Linked DNA regions of Schizosaccharomyces pombe. The gene in region 1 interacts genetically with each later gene. Each region holds a gene or a part of one and is shown in the gene's direction. Other genes may lie near its edges.

Region 1 (5,525 bases):
TACAAGGTGGTAAAAACTACGAGTAATAGCCGTTTTATTATTTATGTTTCTCTTGAGTCGGTTTTCAGACATTATAAGCATCCATCCATCCAATTTTTGGAAGCCTACAAAGGAAGCACTGGCTGAAGAAATCCATAAAAAGTATGCTAACAAAGTGATACAAAACATTGGACTGGCTATTTGCGTTTATGATTTTTTGAAAATTGGGGAAGGAATAATTAAATACGGAGATGGCTCTTCATACATGAATGGTAAGTATAAGTCTGCTCACTTTATTTCATATGCCAATTCGCATTATCAATACGAAAGGCTGTCAGGATAGTGATTCAGTGGAAAAGAAAAACTTAAATGGTTCTAATTAGATTAGTGGTTTTCCGCCTTATAATCTTTCGTCCTTTTCGAGGTGAAGTAATGCTGGGAAAAATAAAATCGTGCAGTGAAGAAGGTATTCGGGGTATGTTAAATGTGTTTGTTTAAATGCTTGTTGTTAATGTTTTTCTCCCAGTAACTATTAGCTTTTTTGACGATATTTTCATTCCGAAAGATATGCTTTTCGATCCATGTGTCTTTCGTCCGGATGAGCGTGCCTGGGTATGGAAAATTGAAGGGGAGGACGGCTCAGAGGGAACCGAATTGTATTTTGACATTGATGAAGAAATACGCTTTCAAATAGAATCTGAGGACTTTGTTGATATTTCACCTAAGAGGAATAAAAATGCAACCGCGATTACAGGCACAGAAGCATTGGAATCGGTATCCCCATATACATTGATTGTAAGTTTTTTTTTTTATGTTTAGGGCGAAACTTGTGTCATTATTTATGAAGGGTGCACCATCTATTTGCTAGTATACAAGAAAATATTTTCTGCTTCTCTCAAATCGATAGAATTTACTAACTATATATTTAGGCTTCCTGTTCTCGTGATGGACTGGGCATTCCTGCTTGGTGGAAATGAGCTATTGGATTCGAATCAAAGTCAAACAAAATTTAAAAGCATCAATTAATCATTTACTCCAAATTGTATAAGTAGACTTTCATTCATGTTCTATTTTTCTTCATCTAATGCATCACCAAAATTTCCCAAAAATCACGTGGTCTAGAAAATGGTTGCAATTCTATTCTGTACATTCATCCCGTCTTATAAATTTCATTGCCGAAGGTTTTTGCACAAACCTTTTGGGGTTTTATTATTTCGTTGGAGATACCTGTGTTGTTTTTAGACATGTCCTACTTAAAGGTTGCTTTTAGTGAAAAAGGGTTATTTATAAATCAACTACTTCTTTTTTTTTTTTTTTTTTTAGCTTTTCTCTATTTAAAGGTATATTATTGTATCGAAAAATCAGTTTGTTTACATCTTTGCACAGCAACACATAATGGTTATGAAAACGGCGTTCTTCAAAATTTACCTTCTTGGATGATCATGGTATTTGCTAACAGGGGGCTACTTTAATAAAGGTACTTTCATGTCAAGCTTAAATTTAATCTGGTTAAAAGAGTCATATGTTCTAAAACTTTATATTCAATCTAACAACTGAAGATTCCGCACTGCGTAAAGGAATTTTTCAATGTTAAACAAACGATCCATGCTATGTATGATTTGATTGATTTTGGTATTGTGTATACTAATGTTTAGTAGTATTACCGAATATGGAAAATTTAATTAATTACACAAAAGAGCCGATTCATTTTATAGCATAATAGAATATCAGTCTACTTTTTATGAACAATGTTTGCTTCTTCAGCAAAGAATGTCCATCGCCAACCCACGTTACTCTTTAGTACAGCCGATTTTCGTTATATGTCAGAAAATAGCAACCTTAACATTTCAGCGCCTTGCTATTTGCTATTTGAAAATGACCAACAGCAATTTGACAAACTTCTAATTTTGTTGTATTTGTGCACAAATGCATGGACGTTATAAAGGATTCTTTCGGCTACTGTACTACTTTAGGGATAAACGAATATTTTTGCAAAATTAAAAATACACATACCCACAAAATCATTCACTTTCTTACTTCTAGTACTATTATTAATTTACGGAAACATGCATTAAGCAGCTTTTATGAGTTCCTTAAGCCTCGATAGCTTTTGCTTTACAAACTTTAATGAAACTTAGCAAATCCACGTGATTTGCCCCTAAAATGAATAAAGTTATGCCACATATTTCGGAATCACAAGCAAAGCGCAAGCACTTGACAAAATTGCGTAACCGATTACGCCTTCGGAGCTGACGTGAGTTATCGACTGAATATAAACACCTTATGCTGCTAATTCTGATTAGTCGACTGTATTTGCAAATATTTTCTACATAGGCTTGTCTTCCGTTAATTCTATTTTGTACACTACACCATTCTTTTTAGACGACAGCCGGTAGACTAAATTGTGCTTGTTTCTTGAACAATTAAAGTACATTGAAGAGTGCATATAAAAGAAATAAAAAATTTTTTTTTTTCTTTTACTTCGCTTGAGTCAAAACAGACTAGCACTTATTCTAGTACACTTGAAAGGTGGTGCTTGTTTGACTACATTCTTTGATATTGTAATCAAAAATTTTTTTTTTAAAAATTCCTTTTCTCCTGATTTACTTATTGAGGTGTTAAATTCTTGAAATTTTAAACGCGTTTTTTCCGCTCAACCTCTGTTTTCTTGTGTTTTATTAGGCTACTTTTTGCCTCCTTTTTTTTTCCTTTACCTTTAAAAAAACACTTCTCTTTTGCATTTTTGCAACTAAAAATGTTGACCTTAAACTCAACAATCAAGTCGGTCACCGGCTCATTTCAGTCCGCTTCCATGTTGGCTCGATTCGCCTCTACCCATCACAAGGTTTTAGTAGTTGGTGGTGGATCCGCTGGTATATCCGTCGCCCATCAAATTTACAACAAGTTTTCTAAATACCGCTTTGCCAATGACCAAGGCAAAGATACATCCCTCAAACCCGGTGAAATTGGTATTGTGGATGGTGCCAAGTATCATTATTACCAACCTGGTTGGACTTTGACTGGTGCTGGATTGAGTTCTGTTGCTAAGACCAGACGAGAATTGGCTAGCCTGGTTCCTGCTGACAAATTTAAACTCCATCCTGAATTTGTTAAATCCTTACATCCTCGTGAAAACAAAATAGTTACTCAAAGTGGTCAAGAAATTAGCTATGATTATTTGGTTATGGCAGCTGGTATTTATACTGACTTTGGCAGAATCAAGGGTTTAACTGAGGCTTTGGATGACCCCAACACCCCTGTAGTTACTATCTATTCAGAAAAATATGCTGACGCTGTTTATCCTTGGATTGAAAAAACCAAGTCTGGAAATGCCATTTTTACTCAACCCAGCGGTGTCTTGAAGTGTGCCGGCGCTCCACAAAAGATTATGTGGATGGCTGAAGATTATTGGCGTCGTCATAAAGTTCGTTCCAATATTGATGTATCCTTCTACACTGGTATGCCTACTCTTTTCTCGGTTAAGCGCTATTCTGATGCCCTTCTTCGCCAAAATGAGCAATTACATCGCAATGTCAAGATTAATTATAAAGATGAGCTTGTTGAAGTTAAGGGATCTGAACGTAAAGCCGTATTTAAGAATTTAAACGATGGCTCTCTCTTCGAGCGTCCTTTTGATCTTTTGCATGCCGTCCCCTCTATGCGTTCTCATGAGTTTATCGCAAAGAGTGATTTGGCTGATAAATCTGGTTTTGTTGCTGTTGATCAATCTACTACACAATCGACCAAGTTCCCCAATGTTTTCGCTATCGGTGATTGCAGTGGTTTGCCAACTAGTAAGACTTACGCTGCCATTACTGCACAAGCTCCTGTTATGGTCCACAATCTTTGGAGTTTCGTTAATGGAAAGAATTTAACTGCATCATACAATGGTTACACTTCATGCCCGCTACTCACTGGCTATGGTAAGCTTATCTTGGCCGAATTCTTGTACAAACAAGAACCTAAAGAATCTTTCGGTCGCTTTTCTCGTTTCCTTGACCAAACTGTACCTCGTCGCATGTTTTATCACCTTAAGAAGGACTTCTTTCCTTTTGTTTACTGGAATTTCGCCGTCCGCAATGGTAAGTGGTATGGCAGCAGAGGTTTGATTCCTCCTCACTTTCCTGTTAATTAAAGATTCAATCATCTTTCTTGCGTAAAATAATGCAATCTGCTAGGCATGATTTAGTAGCAACCCTTATATAATTGAATGTTACCCCCTTTCCTTACCATACCTTTACTAGGTTTATCTTTGATTAGAAAAACAGTGTTGATTATTAAGTACTCTAAAGTTATGTACGTCTGTGAATGTTTGAATAAAGTTATTAAATAAATATCAACTTTTTACTTCTAATTTTAAATATGAATAAAAATAGTTTGTAATACATCAACTATAAACGCCAGTAAACTGCACTTACATTGACTAAAGTAGATGCAAAATTATTGTAATACTCTACTCACAATTCCAACTATATCGTCGAATATCATATATACAAAAATATATATATTTATGCATTCATATTTTGCTCACATTTATAGACTTACATTCAAATAAAGACAAAACACAATTCACTCATAACTACTTCCTTCCGCACGAATTGAATTCTAAGCCAGCAAATCAATCCTAAAAGAATCTAGAGAAAAAATGCTACTAAATTAGAAAGCACGGCGGACAGGGGAACGAATATAAGGGATATCCTTGTAAGCATCAACAGTCTTTTTGGCACGTTGAGCAACACCAGAGGTGGTGAAATGGAATTTCTCGTATAATTTGGGAGCAGGGCCAGAGTCACCAAAAGTGTGCATACCAAAGGCCTCGTGAACGTAACGTCTCCAACCATTGGTAGCCCAAACCTCGACGGACATAGCAGGAATACCGTCAGGAATGACAGAAAGACGGTAGCTTTCTGGTTGTTGTTCGAAAACTTCCCAGCAAGGCAATGAAACGACACGAGCCTTCAAGTTGTACTCGGTCTCAAGGGTCTTGACAGTGTCAATGCAAAGAGAGACTTCAGAACCAGTACCGACAAGAGTAATATCGGCCTCCTTGTTCTCCAACATGACATAACCACCCTTAAGAGCATTTTCAATAGTAGAGTTCTCAAGTTGAGGAAGGTTTTGACGAGTCAAAGCCAAAATAGAAGGAGTGCTATCACTAGTCAAAGCACTGTAGTAAGCAGCGGAAGTTTCATTACCGTCAGCGGGACGCCAGCAGTTAATGTTGGGCATAGCACGGAAATGAGCAAAAGTCTCAATAGGTTGATGGGTAGGACCGTCCTCACCCAAACCAATAGAATCATGGGTAGCAACATAAATGACACGGCTGTTGTTCAAGGCAGCCATACGAACGGCACCGGCAGCATAAGAAACAAAGTTCAAGAAAGTACCACCGTAAGGGATGATAGGACCATAGACGGCCAAACCGTTCATGATACCAGCCATACCATGCTCACGAATACCGTAACGAATGTAACGACCGGCATAGGTACCGAGCTTGCTAGAAGGAGGTTGGAAATCAGCAGCGCCTTCCCAACGAGTCAAGTTAG
Region 2 (5,406 bases), on another chromosome or scaffold:
TGGCCACGTACGATTTTTCTCTTCGTAGAGACCATTTGAGCGTCTATCAAGATGAAAAGGTGGTTGAAAAGGAAAATTTATTTACCTCTCCTGCTCCTGAAAGGTTAACTTTCCAATTGCTTAGCAACACATCTGAGAAGAAAACTGCAACCGCAGAGGAGAATGCTTTTAAGGTAGGTTTGATTGAAGCAGCTGCTCAAAACTTGGCTCGTTCTCTTATGGAATGTCCTGCTAATTACATGACTTCTCTTCAATTTTGTCATTTTGCTCAAGAGTTATTCCAAAATTCCTCAAAGGTTAAAGTATTCGTTCACGATGAGAAGTGGATTGATGAGCAAAAGATGAACGGTTTACTTACCGTGAATGCTGGTTCCGATATTCCACCTCGTTTCTTAGAAGTACAATACATTGGTAAAGAAAAATCAAAAGATGATGGATGGCTTGGTTTAGTTGGAAAAGGTGTAACGTTTGACAGCGGTGGTATCAGTATCAAGCCTTCTCAAAACATGAAGGAGATGCGTGCTGATATGGGTGGTGCTGCTGTTATGCTTTCCTCTATTTATGCCTTGGAACAACTTTCCATCCCCGTGAATGCCGTGTTTGTTACCCCTTTAACTGAGAATCTTCCTTCTGGCTCTGCTGCTAAGCCAGGAGATGTTATTTTTATGCGCAACGGTCTTAGTGTAGAAATTGATAACACTGACGCTGAGGGTCGTCTTATTCTTGCCGATGCAGTTCACTATGTCTCTTCTCAGTATAAGACCAAGGCTGTGATTGAAGCCAGCACATTAACTGGTGCTATGCTAGTAGCCCTCGGTAATGTATTTACTGGTGCATTTGTTCAAGGAGAAGAGTTGTGGAAGAATCTTGAAACTGCTTCCCATGATGCTGGAGACCTTTTCTGGCGTATGCCATTTCACGAGGCTTACCTCAAGCAACTTACAAGTTCTTCAAATGCTGATTTGTGCAATGTTAGTCGTGCCGGTGGTGGTTGTTGTACAGCGGCTGCCTTTATTAAATGCTTCTTAGCCCAGAAAGATTTGTCTTTTGCTCATTTAGACATTGCCGGAGTTATGGATAAGCAGCTTAATTCTTGGGATTGTGACGGCATGAGCGGACGCCCAGTTCGCACTATTATTGAAGTCGCTCGCAAGTATTAGCTTATTTATTTTCTTGGCTATATGTGCAAACTTTATGTTTTTACTTATTTACTGTTGATTACACCAATCTCATTTTTCAATGTCCTTGTTAAGTGTATGTCAATGATATGTAGCTATCATGATTTTATTCTTTTTAATACTGTTTTCCACAACCGTTCATAACGGTTGTAAGGACCGAGTCTTTCTGATGGCTCTGGTTCTGTTTCCTTTAAAAATAAAATCAATTCGGTTGAAGTCTCATGTTGTTAAATTTCACTTTCGAAGTAGCGAATTTTTTTTTTCTATTTTGAATATAGATTTGTTTATTAAATGTAGTAATCAATTTACTCATGACTATTACTTTTGTCAAACAAAATCATAATACAAAACTAAATCTTTAAAGGTAGAATATTCTCCTGTGCGAGTTTACAATACTTTGGGATATGATCAAATCAATTTTTTTTAGATATCTGTTGAAATTTTTATAACAGTAATTTTGTATTATTTATCATACTATTTATTAGCGTTACCTGCCCTCTTAAATGTACACATCATGTGGGGGTGGGGGAACCAGTGCTGGAGATCACTTCTTGCTATACCGTTTGGCTCATGGCAACTATTGAGGATAGCAAGGAGCGTTACAATTTGCAAATCAATATGATAAACAGAAAAACAACAAGTTGAAGCTTAACACTGTAGCAATATAACAATGAAAAAAATAATCAGAATTAAAGCAAGAAGCCTATAAATGGTCCATCAATTGTGAAATCGATATTGCTAGATGTCAGGCAAATCGTGAACTCGGTTGAAAAATGTCGTTAATATTCATGTGAAATCATAATTACAGCAATATGTTCAAAGACTTTTGGATACTTTATAATAATGAGGATTCTATTTTTGAGTGGTCACATGGTCTCGTAACCATGAGGTACGCCTTACTTTTACGGACGAAACAATATTTCACATTCAGCTCTCAATGTTAAGTATCCAAACAAACATGGTACAAACCAATAAAGCATGTAAATTAATAAGCTTGAAATAAGGAATAGTCATTAAATTCAGTTTAGACATAATGTAAAAGGTATCAATTTTGTCTTTGGTATAGATACAATTAAGAATTTCGAGACGGAACGTTCGGTGATGTAGAGTTTTCATAATAATTTCTGCAGTTGCTTACACTAACCGAAGAATCGTCCAGTATAAACTGCTGACGATGCCTTAAATCAATAATTGCAAATTGCATAGTTGACGTTTTCCCGGGTGGCACATAGTGAGATTTGAGTCGAATAATGAAATAGCCTCTGACGAGTGGTTTCGTACCAAGAGTTTCAAAAAGAATAATCCACATTAACTCAATGTATCATTGATGACGGAATGTTGCTTATATAGCCAGAGTAACCCTGCTCTGAAGCATCTAAGGTTATATCTTTTTAACTTTTAGCTAGCAAACTCACTTGTTCCTTTAAGTTCAGAAAGTATCTGCTGGTTATTCAACAGATAATTATCTTGCGAAAAAGGAATACACACTCAGCATTGTAATTTGTTGAGTATATTTCACAAGCACATTAAATTGCATTATCAAACATGAGTGGGGATATTTTAGTCGGTGAATATCTATTCAAAAGGCTTGAACAATTAGGGGTCAAGTCCATTCTTGGTGTTCCAGGAGATTTCAATTTAGCTCTACTTGACTTAATTGAGAAAGTTGGAGATGAGAAATTTCGTTGGGTTGGCAATACCAATGAGTTGAATGGTGCTTATGCCGCTGATGGTTATGCTCGTGTTAATGGTCTTTCAGCCATTGTTACAACGTTCGGCGTGGGAGAGCTTTCCGCTATTAATGGAGTGGCAGGTTCTTATGCGGAGCATGTCCCAGTAGTTCATATTGTTGGAATGCCTTCCACAAAGGTGCAAGATACTGGAGCTTTGCTTCATCATACTTTAGGAGATGGAGACTTTCGCACTTTCATGGATATGTTTAAGAAAGTTTCTGCCTACAGTATAATGATCGATAACGGAAACGATGCAGCTGAAAAGATCGATGAAGCCTTGTCGATTTGTTATAAAAAGGCTAGGCCTGTTTACATTGGTATTCCTTCTGATGCTGGCTACTTCAAAGCATCTTCATCAAATCTTGGGAAAAGACTAAAGCTCGAGGAGGATACTAACGATCCAGCAGTTGAGCAAGAAGTCATCAATCATATCTCGGAAATGGTTGTCAATGCAAAGAAACCAGTGATTTTAATTGACGCTTGTGCTGTAAGACATCGTGTCGTTCCAGAAGTACATGAGCTGATTAAATTGACCCATTTCCCTACATATGTAACTCCCATGGGTAAATCTGCAATTGACGAAACTTCGCAATTTTTTGACGGCGTTTATGTTGGTTCAATTTCAGATCCTGAAGTTAAAGACAGAATTGAATCCACTGATCTGTTGCTATCCATCGGTGCTCTCAAATCAGACTTTAACACGGGTTCCTTCTCTTACCACCTCAGCCAAAAGAATGCCGTTGAGTTTCATTCAGACCACATGCGCATTCGATATGCTCTTTATCCAAATGTAGCCATGAAGTATATTCTTCGCAAACTGTTGAAAGTACTTGATGCTTCTATGTGTCATTCCAAGGCTGCTCCTACCATTGGCTACAACATCAAGCCTAAGCATGCGGAAGGATATTCTTCCAACGAGATTACTCATTGCTGGTTTTGGCCTAAATTTAGTGAATTTTTGAAGCCCCGAGATGTTTTGATCACCGAGACTGGAACTGCAAACTTTGGTGTCCTTGATTGCAGGTTTCCAAAGGATGTAACAGCCATTTCCCAGGTATTATGGGGATCTATTGGATACTCCGTTGGTGCAATGTTTGGTGCTGTTTTGGCCGTCCACGATTCTAAAGAGCCCGATCGTCGTACCATTCTTGTAGTAGGTGATGGATCCTTACAACTGACGATTACAGAGATTTCAACCTGCATTCGCCATAACCTCAAACCAATTATTTTCATAATTAACAACGACGGTTACACCATTGAGCGTTTAATTCATGGTTTGCATGCTAGCTATAACGAAATTAACACTAAATGGGGCTACCAACAGATTCCCAAGTTTTTCGGAGCTGCTGAAAACCACTTCCGCACTTACTGTGTTAAAACTCCTACTGACGTTGAAAAGTTGTTTAGCGACAAGGAGTTTGCAAATGCAGATGTCATTCAAGTAGTTGAGCTTGTAATGCCTATGTTGGATGCACCTCGTGTCCTAGTTGAGCAAGCCAAGTTGACGTCTAAGATCAATAAGCAATGAGCAAGCTATTGAGAGTGGAATTGGCAAACAAAGTTTCCTTTGATTTATATGTTTTTTATGATAAGCCCATTCAATTCATATAGTCTTTTAGTATAATGATTAGTTATTAAATTTATGTTTAAAGCAACTTTTTAGTTTAAAATTTTTCAAGTCAAGTTAGGGTGTACGTAAACAAACAATACCTTGGAAGCAATGAATGAAAAGGTAGAGTTAATCCAAACAATGTGGAAACCAGTTTCCTTGCATCTACTTACTAGTTTCGCAGAAAAATTGCTAAACTGCTTAAAAGCCAACTTTAACATTCTTATTTCTTACATAGGAGCTACCGTTCCATTCACATTGTGATATGCTAAGAATTTATTAGTTTTACAAAAATTGGGTGATTCTACTATTTAATACAGTGGTTTTGTAACGTAATGAAATTATAACGCTCGTTTATTACGATTTCCTAGGTAATGTAGCGGGTAAAGGCAATTGACTGATATTATGTATCACTCTATCACAGCAACGGACGAACGGTTTGCGTTGTTGTTTATAAATGGTTCTGCAACGCAGCTTCTGACTTTGACACTCTACACCACACCATACTTCAGCGCTCTATTCTTTCGCATAGGAAGGTAAGCTGCATTTCGTGGCGTTTGGTACCTTGAAAAAATATATTTTGGTTAATATTCGTTGGCTTTTTCTTTTAATTCTTGCTACTAATTCCAAGAATTGTGTAAGTATAGGAAGAGGCTGTGTTGATCGGTTAGTTTCGTAATTTCGGCATACTAGTGATTCCTAAAATACCGACTACTAATAATTATAAAGCTTAGATCACTTCTTTGGCTAAAGTAATTAAACCAGGAAGTCTTAAAATTCCGCTTTTTAGCATCCTAAAAATTTCCCCGTCATTTCTCAAAAGTGTTAAACGCGTGAATGTTCTCAAAGCTCTGTTTTCTTTTCTTTGCTTTTTGAACGGCTTTGT
Region 3 (5,301 bases), 2.4 Mb from region 1:
TATTTTGCGATTGTGTACCCGATATCCTAACAGCAAAGCAGTGAATTGGAAGATGAATTTACTACAATATCTGTAGTGTCTTTTAGTTACATTCAGAAAAGAAATTGATACGAAAATGTGCACGCTAAAAGCTCAAACCCATGTATACTTATGATCTTCCAATTGTACAAATTATTGCTATTTTCGCTAGTCTATAGATCGATCAGCCATTGACGTCAGCGCTCGTTTAGTATTTGAAAACAAACGCCAAGTTAGGTGTTTGTTTATTAATGTGTTTCTTTGGGTATATGAGTGTATGAAAATTCGACTCAAGCTCCTGTTAACACTTGATCTTTCTTTTGAATCGCGAATAGCATTGACTCCGATATCTCGGTTCAATTTTTTTGAGTAAATAGTAAACGTACGTTTCATAAAACTAACTTTAACAAAAAATTATCTACTTAGTGAATTAGTTCTCACTTGGATAAATACTTGTTTTTGTCAAGCTTTTAGCATGGTCAATTGATATCAAAAGGAACTCACTCCAAAAAAAATCGACCCCACTTGGGTCCATGAACCTCTCTTGTCTTGCATCTCTCAAGGACTGGATGGATGTGGGGGTTCGGGGAATCAAGAGTTTTCAATGGAGTAAGTGCAATCAAATAAATCAAAGCGACAAAGGATTAGAGCGAGGAGACGAGAAAAGATGGAAATACAATGAGTAAATTCGTATTAAAATTGATATCGTTTTAACGAAGGAAAAGAGAAAGTTACTCTACGTAGGTTTGCAAAAAAAAAATATATAAATGTAGATGTAGATGTAAAATTAATGTTAATGAGAAATTTGAAATTAAGGAAGCATAAATAGTATGGAGACATTATAGTTAATATGGACGATGAGTTAAAAGGAATAATTGGTTTAAGTGAAGCTAAAGAAAAATAAAAATAAAAAAATAAAAAGATGTCATTTAATATTAAATTTAAAAAAGACAACACACACATAAGAACTATTCAATAAAATAAAATAAACACAGTACAATAAAATAAAATAAATAACGATCTAACGAAACAGGAAAAAAAAAAAAAAATAATATATTACAAACAAAAAACAATCTCAAAAAGCTATCTTATAATTTGAGTATCCTAACCATAATATTTATTAACTCATATGTAAGTTTATCTTGGTAGAAGCTTTACCTTTAAGAATTGACTTCATTCCTACTCGCATCGCATTTGTTGCTTCTATTTTAGAGATAAAAGCTCTTTTAATTGAACTTATGCTTTTACCAACACGGCACGTGAATCAAGTTAGAATAATAGTCTAAATGTCCACAAAGGGTGGTTTCTCGTTCTATGAATAAATATAGTAGTAGCTTAGTGAAAATTCCACGGGACATTAGTTTATATAAGAATAAAAGTGAATGTATGAAAATTACATGTGAAGAATAAATTTGTGGTAAAATACACGTCTTTTAAAATATAGCTAATAGCACACATATTTTGAAGCATGCTTTATATCCTGCTCTTTCAATGCAAGGTTATTATCCCATTCTGAAGCCACATACCATCAACCCACGAAAAATCTCGTTAAATAAACAACACCAAATTTCCTTATTGCTAATAGGAAGGGCGGGATGAAAACAATCAACCTCAAAAATTTCTCCCTCTCTTTAATTACCTGGATGACCAGTCATTATAGAACGAATTTATTTTCTCCACTTCTTTCTATATCTTAAGGTTCATTTCTCCTCCTACTAACTACTCCATCCACCCACCCACCTTTAGCACTTCCCAATCATCTACGTCACAAAGCATTAGTACTCATCATCGAATTTCACAATTTCTGATTTTCGTTGCTGCATTCCAGCACACTACACTGCGCCATTTAGCTGTATAAGCCATGTTATGTTGATTCTGAGTTAACACAGGTAAGAAGACACATAAAGCCCACTTTAAACTTGAACTTGTATTCGTGTGCTCTAAAACGTACAACACTATACCAAAGCAGCACGAGAAAACAAGTTCAAGTTTAAAGAGACATAATAACACCTACAGCTACACAATGGCGATCAATCATACACAATTGCTAGACATCAAATCATAGGCAATTGGGGTCGATCTTATGTAATTGCTGTGGGTATGCAATTGAGGTCGGTGATGAAAGCAGCGGTCATGCTCGCCTCTCAATCCTTTACGAATGTATTAAGGGAGTGCCATGCCATGCCATGCCATTTTCTCAGTCACGTAAACCTCGATACGATACAAGCTCTAACCTTCCCATCCCGTATTTACGTTTTTGCAGTATTATAGGAAAGATGAATAGGGTGGAATGAGTCCGCTCTAGCAATCGTTTGGTAAGCCGGCTTCGTTGAATTGCAGTATGTCATTTGTTTAGCAGGCTGAAACAGCATTGCCCTGTAGTTTTCATTGCAAGCCCCTCGTTTTTTGAAGATTAGGTTTATCGTGTATGCATTTTTAATTAAGCGGATCACTCAGGTGGGCGTATGAAATAGGGATTTGCCATAGTTGTCCATTCAACTAAAGATTAGATTGTTAAAAGGCTTATGATTCGCGGAACTAAACATAGCGAATACTTCATATGCTGGCAAAACGTTGTTTACATGGGAAATACATGGCGCTTCCATCATGGCTCGTTGATTTTTGTAAATATATAAATAGTGGCGGGCAGCAGTCAAGGTGAAACGTTTGTTAGGATTTTTTTTGTTTACACTGGAGAGAGACAACACAACTCATTATTAATTTTTTCATCTTCGTCTCTCTCGTCTCTTATTATATCATCTCATCTCACCACTCGGTTTCTAGCCCAACTTAACTCAGCTCAACTCAGTTCTACTTAGAACCGATTTGCTCCTCTTTCTTAAAAACTTACTTCAGCTAGGATTCACCTGGCCAGCTTATTCAACTTCATTCCCCGTTTCTTGTTGATTCAGGTTTCGTTTACTCCATCATGAAAAAAGATCTCGACGAAATCGACACTGACATTGTCACACTTTCCTCCTTTATTTTGCAGGAACAGCGCCGATACAATCAGAAGCATAAAAATGAAGAAGGAAAACCTTGCATTATTCAAGAGGCTAGTGGGGAATTGTCATTACTGCTAAACAGTTTACAATTCAGCTTCAAATTCATCGCCAACACCATTCGTAAAGCAGAGTTGGTAAATCTCATTGGTTTATCGGGAATCGTCAATTCCACTGGCGATGAACAAAAGAAGCTAGATAAAATTTGCAATGATATCTTCATTACTGCGATGAAGTCGAACGGATGCTGCAAACTCATCGTTAGTGAAGAAGAGGAGGATCTTATCGTAGTTGATAGCAACGGTTCCTATGCCGTCACTTGCGATCCCATCGATGGCTCTTCCAACATTGACGCCGGTGTTAGTGTAGGTACCATATTTGGTATCTATAAACTGCGACCCGGCAGTCAAGGCGATATTAGCGATGTCTTAAGGCCTGGTAAAGAAATGGTTGCTGCTGGCTATACTATGTATGGTGCTTCGGCTCATTTATTGCTTACCACAGGTCATCGTGTCAATGGCTTCACCTTGGACACTGATATTGGCGAATTCATCTTGACCCATCGAAACATGAAAATGCCTTTGCAACATAGTATTTATTCCATTAATGAGGGTTACACTGCATTTTGGGATGAAAAAATCGCTCGTTTTATTGCTCATCTCAAAGAAAGCACACCAGACAAAAAACCATACTCTGCTCGATACATTGGTTCTATGGTCGCCGATATGCACCGTACCATTCTTTATGGTGGGTTGTTTGCTTATCCATGCTCAAAAGGAAATAACGGAAAGTTGAGACTTCTTTACGAATGTTTCCCCATGGCCTTCCTTGTTGAACAAGCAGGAGGTATTGCGGTAAACGACAAAGGAGATCGCATTCTGGATTTGGTACCCAAAACATTACACGGAAAAAGCAGTATTTGGCTTGGAAGTAAACATGAAGTCGAGGAATATATTAATTTCATAAAATAGTAATTCCTAGTTCTTTGAAGTCCTCTCCGTTACTTTTTATCTTCTTATCACCAAACATGGTTATTCCATTCCAATAATGCAGAAACTGAAACTTTTGTCAATTATTCTCTGCATCATCATAAACATGGATCTCCAATTAGGTTATTTTTCTCACATATATATGTATATATATATAATATTTGTATATGAATACATGTATCTTTTAGATGAAAAACTTATGGTTGACAGTTGCACTTTGTCAACCTCTTAGTTTTTTAACTTAAAGAAAAAGAGATAATAGTTTTTGTCGTGGATAGAGATTTTAAGGTGGAATTCACCTATTTTTCAGAGGACGTTGGAAAAGCTTAATGTTTTCAAGTAATGTTTTAGGATACATAAGTACATTTGAAATAAATGTCTTTATTAAAAAACAAACAGCTACATTTGTTGTGATTTTTTCTGTATTCAATAATCATCTGCTAACTGTATTTTCTAAACCGTAAAGTCCAAATCCTGACTGTAGACAAGTTAGTCTTTGTTTACGGCAAGATGTTGAATGGAAGTAAAGACGCCGTCAGTTGCAGTACACTTCATAACATTATTTTTTGACCAGGGTGACATTCACAGGCTCAAAAGAAGGAAATACCGAACAATTCAATCCAACGTGAACTGTTTCTGTAACAGTACTCCCTTAAACATTCGATATATTTTTCTCGTAGAAAGCTACATCTTTTTAAAATACCAAAGTGTCTAACAATATTCTAAACTTGTTTTTAAGGATTGATTACTTTATGTGAATTTAAATTACCGAGGGCTATATGCAATTCTCGACTTCACTCCGTACCTTAAATCGGTTTGTTAAAATAAGTTAGTGAAGTACAATGACATTTCGGTAAAATATTTATGCGATGCTTGTAAAGAACCGTAAATCAAAGTTGCTTTAGGGAGGCGACATCAATGCTTCTTTCTCTTAACTTGTTAAAGAAAGAACCATTGAATAGTGGAAACTGCTTGAGTAATTTTCACTATTTTGAAGGATTTAAAATGTCTGAAGAAAAACCGACGGTTCGAACTGAGGAGGATGACCGCTATGAAGACGATGCTGGTGATTTAGATTTGGGTCAAATTGGCTCAAGAGTGTGGTTAGTTAAAATTCCCAAGTTTTTGATGGACAAATGGAATTCAATTCCAGAAGACGATGCCGCTAATCTAGGGTGTGTTCGGGTCAAGAATGATGAAATACAATTACTTCTTCAAAACAGTCCTGAAAATGCAGACGTCCCTAAAATTTATAATTTACGCGTAATGAATAAGTTTGTTAGGAATTCTTA
Region 4 (5,694 bases), on another chromosome or scaffold:
CAGATTATTGGGCGACCTTTTGAAAGTGAGGGTCTTTAGATGTTACAGCTGCAGTAGCTTCAATTACCTTTTCAAAAATACCTTTGTAGGCGGCTATAACACCGTTATTGTTCTTAAGAGTTCTTCCTACACCAAAGTCCAAAGGTTTGCCAAACATATCAGAAACAACACCACCAGCCTCTTCAACAAGAAGAGAACCACCAGCATGATCCCAAATTTTTTCTTCAAATGTCATTTTGGTTGGTAAACGAAGGTAGATGTCACCATCACCACGAGCAAGACTAGCGTATTTGGCTTGAGAATCCATCTTGGTAGGTCCACGAGTAATCCCTAAGTACTTTGCAATTTCTTCTTGAGTTCCTTGCATTGAATGACCAGCCTCTACTCCTTCGCAAAATTTTGAATCCTTGGTGTTTTGAACATCTTGCATGTGCACTTGAACTGGTTCTAATTTTTCGTTATGGAGAGAATACTGGAAGCAACCATGGTTACGAACAGCGGACATTATGATACCTTTGGGACTTGTCTCGGGCTGATTAAAGTCATATGGAAGATTAGGGCATCCAATGGCACTTACCACAGGTTTTCCATTCTCAATCAAAGCTAAACAAATAGCATACTGGGCACCACGTAGAAATCCTTTAGTTCCATCAATGGGATCCAAAGTCCACATACGACCATTGCGACCACCGTGATATGATCCTTGGTCAATAATGCTCATCATTTCTTCAGCTGACTTGATTTGACCAAGCTCTTTGTATTCAGTAGCATGTTGGATAGTTTCTTGAACTAATTCCCAAACACGAGAGCAGGTTTGGGTGTTTTCTCTCAAAAAGTCGGAATCCTCTTCGCCAACAATTGGATCATTGGGAAATGCATCTTTTAACATAGAGATTACGATAGCTTGAGCACCAAAATCGCCAATAGTCACAGGTGATTTATCATCTTTAGTAAGTGCCCCAGCAGCACTCTTCTCCTTGATAAGTTGATTAAACACTTTTTCGGTCAAATAGCTAGCTCTGCGCACAGCAGCAATAGCTAATTGTTTTTCGGCATCAAAGCTCATGGTAAATAATTTTCTAATGTTATTTATTAATGGAGGTATGATTTTAGCACCAAATTTCCTGTTAACACGGAGTTTGGAAATTTTTGTAAACCTGGGCAGTGGAAGTGCGAAGAATATGAAATCAGCATATACGGTGTTTAATTGACGTTTCCACATTTAACCAAAAATATTGTTCAAATAGAAGAAAGAACTAAAAAATTGTTATGAAACGAGAAAGAGTTTCATTTTTTCTGACTAAAAGACCTTTTTTTTTTGTAAAATCGCAGGTTATGCTAACTTTTATTAAACAATAATGATTATGTAGTTTCTATTGTGAAAAGAGCATGTTAATATTTTAAAACAGGTTTCTCCATGTCCACATTTTAGGTTTTCATTAATTATACAAACGACACTACTAAAGTCTGGGTATTGGCAAAGCAGTTCGCCAACCCTTCCAACCTATGGAGAAAGGATGAAATATAATATTAAGGAAAAAAAATATCATTCTGATGGAAAAAACGCATAATTTAAAAGCAGTGCAAGTCCGTATCTTGCGTTTCCCTTTAACAGGCAAATATGCCTAAAATTTTTATATAAGTGTAGATACCAAGGATGAAATGAAGGCATAAAAATATTTTAAAGGGATTGATTAGTAAAAGAAGAAACTGCTCATAAAATTTCCTTTCTCTCAAAATACTGTTGTTTGAAGAGACTTGAGAAATTAATGAACAATCAGATATTCCTCAATACAGATTGAAGAAATAGTTTCCTTATGGCAAATTACAATCATATGTAATATATTGTGATAACAAGACTTACATTCCATAAAGTCTAGTCGTTTTCAGGTCAACTCATAAATGTAAACAAAAGTAATACACCGTGACGGAACGTACTGCGTTATCAGATAAATGAGGTTCAGTCTAACGCGTCTTCTCATATTCAAACATAAACAAACATGAACATTTTCCCAATTGTTAAGTACTCTGTAGCTGAGGATTCGTATACTACAGATTCCTCCCATATCAACTGGTCACATTATTCAGATGGAGGTTTTACACTCTCATTAACGTCTGGATTGCTTCAAATTCGTCAACACGAAGAATTAATTGTACGCGACATGAAACCATATTGCTAGAAAAATTCAATATTTTTAACAAACAAACAGCAAAGTATAAACTTGTTAGATCTCTGGCACCAATTGATACCGGGAACGAAGGAAAAATGTCTAACTCTGCTTTCACGCGCTCCGTGTATGAATATTCGTGCTTTCACTAATAATGTAAGTAAAACAAAAGCAGATTTATTCAAAATCACATTGAGGCCTCTTTTTTTAAAAAAAAAAATGGAGTGTTGATGAAGCGTATTTTGTTGTTAATAAATTTAGGTGATGAAAAGATTTCAAGTGAAATTCCCATCTGACGTGCATTATATGAAAGCCAAAGTTGAATTTGAGAAGCTAGGCCTGGTGTTCAAAGATGCAAAGTCTTCCTCTGAGAAGAAGCAATTCAATAACTCCCAAAGTCAATCTAATAACTCACAGGAACTTTCGTTGATGAACAATGCATATAACAAGTCATCGGCGCAACAGCCAAATCTTTTATTACAACCGAGTTATATCCCCATGACCCAAACAGCAACAACTGCTGTGAACAATAGCACAAACTATGTCAATCCAGCACCACTGCAGCATGTCATGCCAAATGCTGAAATCTTCTCCAATACACCACCGCTTAAGCGATTCCGCGGGGATGCGGGCATGACCCAAATGCCCCTTCGAAGTGATACATCAATTGAAAGTATTACTGCGTCACAACAACCCACTTGGGATGAAAACGTGGTGATAACTTCATCACCTTTTAATCCCAATCGTAATGCCTACTCTTACGGTGCAAACTCACAATACCCCATTATTGCTGCTACGCCGCTGAACTCTCAGACACAGGCTTCGTGGGTTGCTCAACCGGAGAACCAAGCATACGCAAATTTGATTCCATCACCCCCAACGACTTCACAAATCCTACCAACAGAACTTACTGAAGAGGAAAAGCAATTACGCTCCAAGGTATTATTCTATCTAAAACAAGACAGCTTCATCCAATTATGTCAAAGTTTGGAACGGGTATGGAACAAGATGTAGGAAGACAGACCAATTCAACTTAATCCCAAATTTAAAAAAGTAGTAAAAATGGAACGAAATCAGGATCGGAATGGTTATTTCGACAAAATTGATGTGTGACCACAATTTGGCAACCAAATGAGAAACTTCATTAAGTTCACATTCTTCGAGTACCGTGATAAAACATTTGTTGCAAATTTTGACATTATTTAACGAAAAGTTGGTCGAGATCTCAACTGCATATGATCGTTGCTGAGGATTAGCAAACAGAAACCGCCAACACAACAATGTTGAAATAAATTTCTCTACTTGTTGCATGACTCTTTTCCCTTAGGCTTGTCCATGCAGAGCATTAAAATCAAATTGAGAAGATCCCGTTCCGATCCTTGGGGTGTAAGCCTCCACCACGACACATAATCGGTATCAAAAGACAACTCTGAAAACTTTTTGATGGGGGAATTGCCGCAAGTACAGCATGAATACTAGTGTTAATAATGGGTCAGGTTACAACGGTTAAAATTGAGTTGGTGGTTGGTTTTGATAATTGACTTAACAATCCACGAGAGGAGTTCATGACATTAAGTACGAAAATGGTCAAATAGTTAGTTTAACTTCAAAAATAGACGAACCAAGTGGAGAAAGTAAATGTTCCGAGCACCAAAAAAAAAACATGATATTTTTTAAAGGGATGAAACAGCTAGAACGTTATGAGTGTAAAAAGGATTTTTTTTTTTTTTTTGGGTACTTCCGAGAGAGACAACAGTCTACAAAGCTTCACAATGATTTCAATGTCCGTGAAGTAAACCTTAAAATGTCGAATCGACTTTGAAGGGTTGCATGCGAATTATCAAATAATGTTTAAAAGTGTTGTCAATGGAAAATGAATCCCGTTTCCCATTTCACTTAATCTAGCTTATCTGCCTAATCGGCACTTAAGGTAGATGGAAACCAGAGAATATTCTTTTTTCCTCAAAACAAAAACGCCCCCGCTAGTAAACCTAAAGACAATACCGACTAACGATATTGTGATTTTCACTTGGTGGAATTGGCGGAAATGTTTTCAAAGATATGAAGGCATAACCGGATCAAACGGTTTCGACAATGCTAATAGAATTCTCTTCACGTGGACGAACCGGTTTCCAAGGAGAATAAAGACATAATAATAAAATTTAACACTCCTTGTTTTATTTCGACAATATTTATTGGTCTGGTCCGAATTGTTCATTTTGGTAACTACAACATTACTCCCTATTTTTAAGCACGTTTTCATTACCCCTAATTGAAACTTGATTCTATCAACTTTCAATTTACCGGGGCTCGTTTTATTATTCTATTCTCACCATCATTCGATTTTCGCTTCATTTCTGTTGAGGGACTGCTTCCTAGATTGGTGTTTAACGCTTATCGCAACGCATGGAGTTGCATTTCATCCATTTTCTTTTGAAAATAAAGTGTGACCTCTTCTTGTGCCTAATATTGACTTGACTTTAAACACTGTAAAAATAAACGCTGTTTTTTAAAACCATCAATAACTTTAAATCATCGGTTCCTTTTTTTCTTTTATAACGAGGACTTTCTCATTAACGCACTCTGAAATGATTCTTTTCACCCTGATTTTTTTTATGCGATTGTATTTGCTCCTCACGATATACTATACTAATCACTATCGTACTTAAAAAATAGGCCGATCGTCCGAACCTCGTTTGTCTGTGCAAAAACAACTCTCGTCATTCTTACACAAAAATTTCGTTTACAGCGATACTACAAATTTTTTTCATAAGTTATAATGGTTGGTGGTAGCACATCTAGGAGTGTGAAAGCATCGCCGATATTGTGTTAGTGCGACAAGGCTCATCAAGGGATTAGGGAAATTTTTTCTTCAATAGTCTTGCTAGAAAATTACTCGGAATTTGAATCGTTGTCGATATTTTTTTTTCTGAAATTACAATTGTTCATTGTCTCTGCGTAGGTGCAAATTTCTGATTTGCTCTACAGCTTGTGATCTTAAATCTACTTAGTCAATCGACTCTGTACTATTGACGCCTGGGCCCCCTCACATAATTCAATTGCGATCTTTTTTTTTATTCTTCTTCTGTGGACTTAAGGTGCGGAGACTTTGGTTTATTTGTCTCCTCTTGTGTTTCTGTCAAGCCCGTGTGCTTGCATATTTTTTCAGAAAAATCCCGCATTGGTACTTAACTACTGTACTTGCTATAACACCTTATCCATTAGTCGTTGAGGTATATTTGTGCATATTCACTACACACTCATACACAACAGCAAAGGCGGCAACTCTCCGCCATCATTACTTATAATCAAGCCAACTCCATCAGCCAACCCAAACCACGGCGCCTTCAATTGATTTGTCTTTTCCTTAATTATCGGTAAATTTCACCGATTTGATTTAGTACCGCTTTATTCACTGTACGGCGTTAATTGCAAGCCATACCGCCTCCGATTTCCCTATTCTTCAATATCCTTAAGAAGGTTCGCCACGCTATTAAGAGCCTTGCAAAACGTGCATAAGTGGCTT

The links.
Region 2: mutations in hmt2 (region 1) and pdc202 together harm fitness more than expected from each alone (negative genetic interaction), as found in Schizosaccharomyces pombe (one large-scale study listed by BioGRID).
Region 3: mutations in hmt2 (region 1) and fbp1 together harm fitness less than expected from each alone (positive genetic interaction), as found in Schizosaccharomyces pombe (one large-scale study listed by BioGRID).
Region 4: mutations in hmt2 (region 1) and rec7 together harm fitness more than expected from each alone (negative genetic interaction), as found in Schizosaccharomyces pombe (one large-scale study listed by BioGRID).

What each region holds. Positions count from the first base shown.
Region 1 is NC_003423.3:2,587,689-2,593,213, reverse strand, and holds hmt2 (sulfide-quinone oxidoreductase), read left to right. Parts: upstream 1-2,280; 5' UTR 2,281-2,734; coding exon 2,735-4,114; 3' UTR 4,115-4,210; downstream 4,211-5,525. Other genes in the region: DNA-directed RNA polymerase III complex subunit Rpc25, read left to right, coding at 44-251, 368-454, 506-774, 909-956; tkt1 (transketolase), read right to left, coding at 4,636-5,525. UniProt on the Schizosaccharomyces pombe protein: Catalyzes the oxidation of hydrogen sulfide, with the help of a quinone.
Region 2 is NC_003424.3:582,874-588,279, forward strand, and holds pdc202 (pyruvate decarboxylase), read left to right. Parts: upstream 1-2,723; coding exon 2,724-4,439; 3' UTR 4,440-4,622; downstream 4,623-5,406. Other genes in the region: ysp2 (peptidase family M17 cytoplasmic leucyl aminopeptidase yspII (LAP yspII)), read left to right, coding at 1-1,160.
Region 3 is NC_003423.3:196,789-202,089, reverse strand, and holds fbp1 (fructose-1,6-bisphosphatase Fbp1), read left to right. Parts: upstream 1-2,720; 5' UTR 2,721-2,947; coding exon 2,948-3,991; 3' UTR 3,992-4,430; downstream 4,431-5,301. Other genes in the region: transcription factor TFIIF complex beta subunit Tfg2, read left to right, coding at 5,015-5,301.
Region 4 is NC_003421.2:1,545,376-1,551,069, reverse strand, and holds rec7 (meiotic recombination protein Rec7), read left to right. Parts: upstream 1-2,000; coding exon 2,001-2,153; exon of another isoform or gene 2,154-2,210; coding exon 2,211-2,324; exon of another isoform or gene 2,325-2,429; coding exon 2,430-3,182; 3' UTR 3,183-4,019; downstream 4,020-5,694. Other genes in the region: tol1 (3'(2'),5'-bisphosphate nucleotidase/inositol-1,4-bisphosphate 1-phosphatase), read right to left, coding at 5-1,066. UniProt on the Schizosaccharomyces pombe protein: May be involved primarily in the early steps of meiotic recombination.